2 linked regions of the Arabidopsis thaliana genome follow. The protein of the gene in region 2 purifies or fractionates together with the protein of the main gene of each other region. This does not show direct contact. Each region holds a gene or a part of one and is shown on either strand. Other genes may lie near its edges.

The links. Proteins that work in one complex are often made in the same cells at the same time.
Region 1: the proteins of AT1G18850 (region 2) and THO7 fractionate together in Arabidopsis thaliana (co-fractionation; one large-scale study listed by BioGRID). This does not show direct contact.

Annotation. Positions count from the first base shown.
Region 1 is NC_003076.8:5,521,335-5,526,948, forward strand, and holds THO7 (Tho complex subunit 7/Mft1p), read right to left. Parts: upstream 2,678-5,614; 5' UTR 2,501-2,677; exon of another isoform or gene 2,173-2,500; 5' UTR 2,142-2,172; coding exon 1,545-2,141; intron 1,413-1,544; coding exon 1,308-1,412; 3' UTR 1,083-1,307; downstream 1-1,082. Other genes in the region: DOT2 (SART-1 family), read right to left, coding at 1-232; AT5G16800 (Acyl-CoA N-acyltransferases (NAT) superfamily protein), read right to left, coding at 3,175-3,401, 3,502-3,705, 3,823-3,922, 4,565-4,709, 4,816-4,961; AT5G16810 (Protein kinase superfamily protein), read right to left, coding at 5,526-5,606.
Region 2 is NC_003070.9:6,503,495-6,509,531, forward strand, and holds AT1G18850 (uncharacterized protein), read right to left. Parts: upstream 3,049-6,037; 5' UTR 2,831-3,048; intron 2,668-2,830; 5' UTR 2,634-2,667; coding exon 1,434-2,633; 3' UTR 1,183-1,433; downstream 1-1,182. Other genes in the region: WRKY61 (WRKY DNA-binding protein 61), read left to right, coding at 5,413-5,535, 5,979-6,037.

The DNA of each region.
Region 1 (5,614 bases), on a different chromosome or scaffold from region 2:
TCTCCTTCTCAGTGTCCTCATCTCTACTTCTTTTTCGGTCTCTCTCTTTCTCCTTATCCCTGCGGTGGTCCTTATCCCTGATCTTTTCTCGATCATAGTCCTTTTCTTTATCCTTGCTCCTATGATCCTTCTCTTTCCTCCTTCCATCTCTGTGTTCTCTAACAGGCGAACCCTCGTAGTCAGCCCTCTCTTCCCTGATTTCATGCCTTGATTTAGACTTCTCCACTTCCATTTTCAAGAACTTTAGTCAAGACCTAACCACAGAAAAAGGAGTTACTCAGTAACAACAATTACAATGGTAGCAAAACTACAGCCGAGCAAGATGAGAATAACAAAACTATTATATTGGCATTACTCTGACAAAGTACTTGCACACTTGATGACAATTTTCGGTTTCAAAACTAGTGACAAAACACAAAAACACAAAAACCCTAACCTAAGAAGGATTTCATTATTATTGGGGAAATAAGGTAAAATCAAATCCTGAATCTAGCTAGCTATAAACATATTCAGACTTTGGAGGATAAACGGAAAACGGAACAAGGTCAAGCGATTCGAAATTCATCGGAAAAAAGAAGAAGCAAACATCTGAAACGAAATATCAAAGAAAACAAAGGTTGATCAAATTCCGATTCGAATTACCTCTAGATCAAACCTTCAATGGAAAGTACTGAATATTCGGATCGACGAACAAAGAGCTCAGAATTGCAGGAGAAATTTCCGAGGGTTTAGAGATAAATTGCGAAAGCACACCGACGAATAGTAAGGTTTAGAAGATAAAGACCTAGCAACTGCGAAGAATTTAGAAAAGAATGCTTCAAACGAGAGAGATGACGACAAACAGCAAACCGCGGACGATCGCAAACTCGCCGTGGAAAGAGACGGAGAGACTCTCTGGTGGCGAAGAGAGGAGAACGATTTTGCAAAATAGAGAAGATATACGTGTACTGTATATATATTAGTCCGGTTTAAAAGCAAATTCTTTGGTACGGGAATAAATCTTAGTCGGTTGAATTTTCTGGACCGGTTATTTTCCTGATGAATCATTACCAAACTTGGTTTAGTCAAATAAATCACTTTCTCCTGACCTTTCCGGTTCACATAGTCCTCAAAACCTCGAGAAGATCTGCCATTATTTTTTTTGAATCTGCGAGTTAAAATGAAACATACATATCCTTATTTTCATAGCAATTTTGGTTATGAGGCAACCAGAAGAAACCAGAAATTTATAAAACAGATTCTTCTTATCAATGAAAGGTTTGTTTCTTTAGCATTCAAGAGGAAGACAAAGTTGCTAAGATTAGGAGCTAATCGATGGACATGGCTTCAGCGCCATCAGCGGTAATGTTCCTCTGCATTTCTTCCACCATACTCTTCTGTTCATCCTCCATTGTCTCCTGCAACTCATCCACCTATACATAAAAGTTTTCACAAAACCAAAAAGGTTAGGATTTAGCTGTAAACATAAAGAAACACGAGAAAGGCGAAATCTTGTTTAGAATCTTAGCTATAAAAACACAACGAAACCCGTAAAATCGACATACCACATGCAACAACAATGCAAACTGCTTCTTCCTTAGTTCAAGAAGTCTCCAACTTGCTGTATTCTCAGCCTCGAGTTCTGCAATCTCCTTCTTCAATTCATGTATAACCTTCTGCGTCTCTGACCTCGGTGGCTGCGCAGAGATAAGTTTCCTAATGGCTTCACACTCCTCTTTCTGTTGTCTCTCTATCTTACTCTCCTCAAGCTGTTTCTTAAGATCTTCTATATCAGCTTGTGCCTGCATTATCTGCCTATTCGTCTCATCTTTAAGCTCGTTAAAGTTCTCTTTCTCCCTAAGATTTGCAGCGACAACTACTTGGCTCTTAAGAAGCGGAATCTCAAACGCAGAGAGTTCTTGCAAGAAAGCTTTCGCGAGCCTACCACACTCACTGTAGTTATCTTCTTCTTTGTCTAGTTCAATAACAAAAGAAGTGAATTTCTTCTGAAGCTTCTTCAATGGAGGTTCGCCTCTGGTGGTGGTCGTGCGTGTGAGAAGCCTATTTCTTATAATTTTGTCATCATGTAACGGATCGAAAGCATAATTAGCTGCTACAGTCTCTGATCTACCCGAAACAATCCTCCTAGCTCTCACTGACATCTTAACTACTAGAGTCTAATATTATTCAAATCTGCAGAACAAACACAATTCATAATAAGCTAGGCTAGGCTTCGCATAATTCTGACAAAGCATTATCTTAAACCAAACAAATAAATCTATGTAAGCTAAAAACTGCTCAAAACAATGAGAACACACTAAGGTCCTTTTTGAATACTCATTCACGGGAATTCATAACATTCGAACTAGTAATTAAGCAAAAGTTTCATAGAATTCGATTTATTCTTCTCATCGTCAAAATCGTTATAGGACAACTTCTGTTTCTCAAATTTTCAGTGAACCGAAATTATAGTGAGATTGACCCAATAAATAATCGGCGAAAAAGAGAATATTTAACTTACTTGAACCGAACCGAACCCAATATCAATTCACCTCTTGTACGATTAAAAATCCGAAACAGAGAAATTATGATTCTCTGATGCACTGTGAACCCTAATTCTATGTTTCCGTTCCTTCTTCCCCTTTCCCTCGTTCTTCACAGTTTGCTCGTTAACTTTCATTTATTATATACCTAATCCCTATTGTTTTTTAAATTACAATTTAAGCATTCACAGTGGTGAACTGAAATTTGTTACTAACCCAGAAAATTGGTCTGGTTTGTTTTTTTTTTTTTAAATCTGTTTAAACATCTCTAGTTAATTCCATGTCATGTGAATTAGCCCCAATTAGAGCCAAAAGCTGTTCATGATCAGAATTGAAGAAGGATCTGGTTTCTCGAAAAAAGTATTGGGGTTTGTTTTTGTAATTTTAAGTAAATTATATGAGCTTATGCTAGTTTTCACGCCATAAAGCACAAAGCTAATTTTTTCAACAAGCTAACTAATTTAAGACAATAAGACTAACAGTGGATTGAACCCTCCGTCCCAAAGAGTTGTCTTCAACTATCACATCACAATATTTACATTTTTATCACATTATTATTCTACACGAACACACACAATAGGATCACAACCAGAGCTTAATGGAAGACATTAAAATGAATGATTTTACAAAGTCTATGAATGGGAGACGGACACTATACGTAATCATACCCGGATGATACTCTTTCCGATGCAAGGTTTCGTTTAGTCTGAGTGGGCAAGAGACACCGCGTGTTGTCTTTGCTTTTAAGCCATTTCGAGCCTTTCTCATCGTGGTTCACCGTCAGCTTTGATGCGAAAGATTTGATTCCGCTCCTCATATAATTCAGAACCAACACCGCAAGATCTCTGCAATGCAGCCATGATTCAGCGATAACCCCATCTATGAAGAAACCGCAAAGAAACATCACAGCAAACAGAATTTAGAATGCAAAAAATACTTGTGTTTTGTACATACAAGGGTGAGCAAGGAGAGCGAGAACCGTTGATAAAGTAGACGAACAAGTAAGAATCGAAATGCTGGCCGTTGATTAAGTAGAATCCGTGTAACCTCCTTACACATCTGAAAGACATTCTTTTGTACAACCGGATTGCGGGATTGTTGTGTGCAATCACGTGAAGGTAAACACCACGGCACACAGGGATACCAGAAGAGTATTTGACGACCTCGTTAATAAGTGCCTTAGCTGCACAAAAAAGTTGCAGAACTTAATATTAACAAAACCAAGCAATAGAAGAGAAGCATCAAGCCATCAACAAAATATCCATATCATTGGTTTACTACATGGGGTCAGAATCAATACCGATTCCACGTTTTCTGTATGTTTCTACAACTCCAAGTGTTAGGATGTACACCAATGTCCCCTCTCCCTTCGACGAGTCATATCTTATTAGATCTGATATCTGTACAAGACATAGAAAATCTATCAACATATTACCCAAGAAACAGCCATTGATGACTCTTAACATTAAACGAACAAGTACAAAACAAGTTTGGATCATAATCAAGATGTTAATAAAGTGGCTGGCTCTTTTTGATTTTCTAGAACTTTCGTAAGAAACCCATCTAATGTACATGGCTTTAAAATTCACGCTTAAACCATTAGACATTGTGAAATGGTTCAACAACATTCAAAATCTACACTTCACAATTACTTGTTACTTGCTGTATAAAGTTATTTCGAAATTTCAGAACCAAAACCCAAAAGGCGAAGAACAAAGAGAAGACAATGTTTTACTACTGAAGAAGCTCCAACCAAAACTTAAAAGCTTAGAAAAAGCTGTTGAAATTGTAGAAAGTTTATATTTTTAAGAAATTTTTAAGAAAATGTTTCAAACATTCAAAATTTTCACTTTACAAGACATTGCATCTTCTTTACAAAACCCAAAAACCATTCAAAACAAGCTTCAAAAATAACTTGAAACGTTACAAATTGAAGCTTTATTTTCTCCAGTGGAAAGAAACCCATTTCGGACATTTGAAATCTACACTTGAACAAGACGATGAAAAAGGAAGACACTTGAACAAAACACAAAGCAACTCACTTCGCTTTCTTTGGCAAGTACGATTTTGGCAGTAACAAATCCAATAAGTTCCTCAGAATGACCATCAGGGCGACTCCGATCAACAGCAGCCCAAGAGACAATATCACCTCCGTTGACAACATTCTGAAAAAACTCAGACTCATACCTGAACAAAATCAAATGCTTTGATAAGACACTTCCAAAAAACGGAAAGTCAAATCCCAAAACCAGATCACATATAAATTCTTTCCAAAACAAAGGTATTTATTTACCTGATTGGGAATATGTCACGATGGATTTGCTCCAAACGTTCTAAATCAGAAGGGTTTATTGGTCTGAAGCAAATAGTTGGACGACGAGCGATTTTGGGTTCCTCCATTGATGAATTCTCCACAAATCCACGGGGAAAACGCGACATTGATCGAGATGATTAAGACTCAAACAACCTCAAATTCTCAATTTTTGATACTTTCATCTGAGAAAGAATCGAGTTCGAGATCAAAATCGGTCTCCGACCCGTTTGTCTGAATCGGAACCGGGTGGGTTAGGGTTTCCAGAATCAGAAGATGGGTTTGTTGATCTGCAAAGGTTTCTCGGAGAGTCAAGTGGGAATCGAAAGAAATGTGAAAACAAACGACTTTTGGAGAAGAAGAGGAAGGAAAAGTATTTGCTTGATTGCTTTGCCGTCTTCCCCACACATCGTTATGGCTTCAAGCGAAGCATCTTTGATTCTTCTTCGGATCATCTCACGTGCCTTGCGACTAACAAGCACGTGCGCATCTTCATCATTCTTTTACTTTTGACGACATTCTATTGTTTAGTTTAGTGACAACAAAACAATCTTAGTATAGCTAGTGCAGGATGAGCAGATTCAATATCATATTTTGGGAACCCACGATATATGATTATATGTTCAGAACATGGATCAAGGATTAATAGTTGTAGATAATTACGTAAATACATAATCTTCGTCTCTTCTCATTTAAACTACGCCATTCAAAAATCGATGACTAAGAACAGCTTCCGCCATTGGCCGCTTCCTATAGTCAGCGTTCAACATTGCCTACCAAA
Region 2 (6,037 bases):
GGTCAAGCAATAACACAAGACTATAACACAACACTTTCATTACTAAAGATTGCAATTTTCATATTTTGGTTCTATCTAGAGCTTTTAGACATTAAAGAGATACATAAGCTCTTTGTAACAGGATTCATCATACTAAGTTCAATGGATCAGCCATTTGTTTATAACTATGTATAGATCACTATCAAACATAAAATCATTCTTTTATAAGTACATGAGCTAAGGATTTGGATTTTTTTATAAAAAGATTAAATAGTAGTAATCCACAATCATTAACCAATGAAATCAAACAAGAAAGAGAAAGAAAATGCAATGATCATCCTAATCTAAAATCAACAAAATCTCCAAAATTGCAAAAACGTATAAAACTCCAGAAATGAAATAACCAAAACCAGATCTGGAACTCACCTTGCAAGTAAATGTACCTGATCTCAAATCCACACTACCTGATCTCAAAATCTACAATAAAGAATCATACAAAATGAAATAAAGATCCGAGTAATGTCTGTCTCCAAATAGAGAATCTGGTCGGATCTAATGTCTGATTTCCGACAAAAACTAAGACGAAGACAACAGTACCCGTGATTACCAAAAGATGCTTTCCATTTGCAGTCTCTACAGAGTGTAGTGCATCGGTGGTGTTAGTTCCAGTGTCCACGAAGAGAGAGAGAGAACAACTTTATTTATTTCTATTTTAAAACTAAAACAAACGCATCTCCGAATTCAAAATCTTGTTGCACCGTTCTTCTACAGCCGTTGGATCAATACTTTTTCCATCAACAAAAAACCAAAAAAATGAAAACTTTAATGGAAAAAATTGCTACTACCAATTAAGTATCAACACAATTGGGAAATGATGATAATTGACAGATAGGTAATTTAAGAAGGTGAAGAAAGTTAGGAGTTGGGTAGTCCCCAGACTGCAGCTTACTTTGTGAACAAGTGTAATAACTCAGCTGCGTAACTATGAAGCATTTCTGGATGTAATTACATTCTTGCCCCTTCTTCTTCTTCAACCTCAGCGAGAGTACCTCACTTTCGTGGTGATGATACATTAGCCGTTTGATTTTGCGGCAAGGTCTCGTGAGTGTTCATAAAGGAACGGTTTTTATTATCCGGCTCTGTGAGACACTTCGTTGAGCAACAACTTGTGCTCATTCTTCAACAAAGTAAGCTGTTGTATTGCAAAGATAAACCTTTTACTCTTCCTGTTGTAACTGATAAAGAATTCTTGGAAAAGAAAACAATTTTAAACCATGTGGTGCATCCTAAATGAGATTGGCAATGTGCAGAGGTTGGAGACAAACTCTCAAAGATAGCGAACAAAATTATACTTTAGTTAAGAGATGAACTGAAACTAGAAAATACAAATGTCACTGGAGACCATAATAAAAAGTGAAAACAGGGTTGCATTAAGCTCCAACAATTGTGAAAATCTAGTTTCGGGCAGCTCCAAGCTTCAAACTTTCAACCACATTAGCCACAAAACAGGAAAGTTTTGATTCTGAAGCTAACCCATCGGCTACTCTTGCAATAGACTTTAGCTCTTCATGCAAATCCGAGTACAGAACCAGAGTGGAGAAGTTCTCATCGATAAGAAGTCCCAAACATTTGGTAATGTCTGTGAGTTCAGGAACCCAGTTGCATAGTTTCAAACCAAGCTTGGAGGCGGCTTTAGGGCATGGACCAGCTTGTGGGAACATCTCATACTTCTTCATCCATTTAGAGAGGTATCGAATAAAGCTACCCATCTCATTGCCATTCAACTTACTGACTGCAGATGCAAACATGACTTCGTCAACATTCCGTGAAGCTAACAAGTAATGCAGGCAAAGCTCTGAGGTTGAAAACCCGTCATGAGCAACCATTAACAAGATAGAAGCCTCTTCTGCAACTTTAGACTTCTTTGATAGCTCTGTGTTGCTCACCTTTTCAATAGCCAACATAGCCTGACTCTCCCATTCTTCTCTTACCTTAGCCATAGTGCTAATTGCTTCCTTTGATGGGCATAAAAAATACTTCAAGATTGAAAGTAGCTCAGTTGCCCCAAGATCTGAAGCTTCTTTGATCACTACGCAAAGCAAATCTGACCTTTGCTTCTCAACAAGATTGCTAACTAAATAAGAGTATGAAGAATGATCAACCAAGGAGTTTGAAATCAAAATTTCCACTAGCTCCCACATCTCTAGACTAATACAACCTTTCAACACTAAACCAGATACATCTCTACCCATCAAAAACCCATTTTTCTCCACCAGTATCTGTATCTCAGAACCAGCTTGATCTCCCAAAACCATCTCAGACTCAGCCTCTGAAATCCCAACTTTCTCACCAATTTTCTCAAGAAACTGCTTTAACATCTTGACAAACTCATCTTTGACAAACCCGTTAGTATCCTTAAGCTTCCTTTTCAGCTTAGATGAAAACTTTTTACCCAAATCGATGACTTCAACATCACTTTCAGAGATTCCCCACCCGGAAATTGGATTGACAAGGGTACCAAGATTAGGGTTTTCTAGCTTTGGTTTCAGATTCGCAAAGATACCATCGTGGCTAAGAGGGATTGGATAATCGGATTGCGAGTCGACCTTGTCCTGATTCGCTACGGCGTTGGAGATAGCTTCGAGCAGCGTCATTGCGAACCAAAAAAATCAAAACTTTATCCAAAATCTGTAATAACAAACAGAACCCATTAACGCAAAACCATGAATCCATTCGAAGATTACACAAACAAAGGCTCAAAAAGAGTAAACTAATCTAAAAGCAAATTCAGAAGAGTTCCAAGGAGACCTAAACAACAATGGTTTAGCGACTAGAGCTGTCAAAATTTTACCTTTCGGATGAAATTATAAGGATGAGAGTTCACTTCAATCGCCGAGACTCGATATCTGTGTGAGGTTAAGGGCAGAGACAGGTAAAGATGAAAAGCTAAAAGAAGGCGAGAGCAATTAGGGTTTAGGGTTTTGTAAATGGAACACTACTTTCTGCGTTTTAATCTGTTTCCAAATATACCCCTGTATTCTCTTACTTATTACGGTGTTATCGGATTTTGGGCATCGACGAATTTAGCTGAATTTTTTTTTTTTCTGGCCTTTTTTTTTTCTTTTGCTAATTGTAGAAAATGTTTCTAAACAATTTTAAGAGAAAAGTTAAAGTAGTTAAGACATGATGTGCTATAATAAAACACCAAGTCAACAAGCTGACTATTTATTCTAAAATGTCAATGGCATATACATAACTCTACGCAACCAGCAAAAGGCCTTAGATCGTGGTCCATTTAAATATGTACTTGTTAATATCAAATTATCAATCACATGTGATATGTCCATGATAATTCATCAAATATATCATGATATATGGTCAATTAGTTTCTAGTTTAAAACTCATATAACGTAAGATTATGTTGGTAAATTTAATTACAACTCTAGTGTTATATTTATGATTAACACATATATCATATATTACTAGTTTGATGCCAAGTCTACGTACCAAGTACCATTCATTTGGCAAAAAAAAAAAAAAAGACTTAGTTAAACAAAGAGACAAACTGCGCTAAACCTAAATAAAATATACAACTTGAAATTGATTAAACTTTCCTATGGAATTTTGTTTGTAGGGAAGCCACAAAAAATTTAAAAATTGTAAGCTGATTGATTAGATATGACCATTTATTTTGTGTTCTAGATTTATAGTTTTGCTCATACATCATGGCATATATTTGAGTGGTTTGTGTAAATATTTATTACGTTTTGCACTCACCAATAATTAAATCTGCAGAAATATAAATCTTCAACAAAAATTGACCTTTTATTAATTATAAAGATATTTTATTTGTGTAATGTCACCAATGTATGACTTTAAGTTCATATATTGGAGTGCTCGTTTTTGTAAACGCATGTATATCATAGCTGGAGTCATATATATTTTTCTTGGTAATTAGTATTTTCGATCTATAGTCAAGGTCTTTTCTAACCGCTGATTAATAATATCAAAATTCCACTGCTCCACAATACATTAATTATATTGTATACCAAACTTTATTCTGCGTTTAGATTCAGATCCAGTAGTAGATAAAATAATAATTCCGATCCAATACAATTCATTTGATGCTTTAATTAGAACGATCGATGGAGCAACTAAAACCGAATTTGGTCATTCTTTGCCATTTGAAAAACAACCAGTCGTCTCATTTGTTGTTAATAAGTTAACATTGATACGTACGTCGGTACGCGAGTGGCAAAACAAACACATCAGCTCTAAGACGAAACACGTTTGGTTTTCCAAAAAAAAAACGATGTATTGATAAGCTATATTGACTTAAAAGGTAATATAGTAACAGCTATCGAAAAATACTACGAATAAATTAGCTAAATTATAATATTAATTATATTAGACTATTTAAATTAGCAAGAAATCTCTTGGAATGATCTTTCTATTACCTATTTTGGTTCATTCTCTTGTTAATTAACCATAGTAATCCATTTGCGGATTGGCCTGTATCTAGACATTTGTTCTGTCGCTACCACTAGAAGTTTATCATTTTGAAAATGAAAAGATAAGAGAGATAAAATTGTAACGATGTGATCAAGAAATTTCAACGTTGTTCTTTAGCAGCAACGTTGGCCGGTGGGTCCATAATTTCGGCTCCAAACCTTATAACAGTGTTTGTTGTTGAGACATAGCTATTTTATTATAACATTAAGCGTTGAAGTTCAATATTTCTTTTCCAATTAGTCGACACTATCGATCCACGAACAATATTCTTCTTTCTTTTTTCCGAATAAATCGGATGCACAATGGTTGTTTTTATTATGTACGTGTGTTGGTATTAGTTTAAAGGGCAGAAAAACCAATTAATAGTATATTATAATATCCCATTCATATTTGGTCGTATACATTGTTATTTTTAACTTATTTGTTTTGTTCAATTGGATTGGCTGTTGACCTTTCAAGATTTCATTGTTGCGTGCTTGTTTTTCTCATGGTTTGAAACATTGCTGCATAAAATGAGTAAATAGAATAATTGTACAACCACTTGGTTCAATGTTTTTACATTTTATAGTCTACAAAAACTCTTTATAAACTAGTATTTAATTTCTGATTTTGGAATTTCAACCTACCGTAAAACAAAACAGCGAGACTATCTAATTACAAGACTATAATTGAATTTTAAATCTTAATTTAATATTATATGTGCACTATATGTTTCATTCTATTTAAGATAGATATTTGGTAATTTTGTAAATTATAGAAATATGTCATGTTCTCTGAACATTATTAATATAGGAGACTTGCATGTTTTTGTGAATTGTTTAATTGGCATAGTCAAAGGATGTATAGGTTGCATATATAGAAATCAACAGTTCCCAAGAGAAAACATGAGAGCTAATAAAAAATTTATCAAAGAAGACTAATATGGAGAAGGACGATTTCTTGAGGAGTGGTCATGGAAGAGAAGAAAGCCATGATGAGATGAGAAAACTTGATTCATCTCACGATGATTCTCATCAAGAACACGACCATATTATAAGATCCAAGGTATCATAAATTTCCTTTTGTATAGTTTTCAAATATTTAGACGTCATTTATAAATCGCATAAATCAATCCTTGGAATTACATACATGTATCTTTCATAATCTTATCACATAGATGGTTTGTTTTATCCAAAATCCATTTTTATTAATTGATTGATTAGTCTTAATCAATGAATCTTAATTTGAATTCTAAAATCATACTAAATTAGATCTTCAAATCTCTTGTCAGTTTCATAATTTTCTGTCTTTGCGGAGGTTTTTACGAAGAATTTGCTCATCTATATATCACAAGTACAATAATTATGAGAAAGAAAGAAAAAAATATGTATTGGATTTTTGAGGCATGCATATATAATTTGAGGAAAGATCAACCAAACGATAGATATTTGTATATTTGTTAAGCATATCGTGATTAACCATATCTTATAAACGTATGATGAGATCAGTTGGACTCAACTAAAGTCGAAATGGATGAGGCTAAAGAGGAAAATCGAAGACTAAAGTC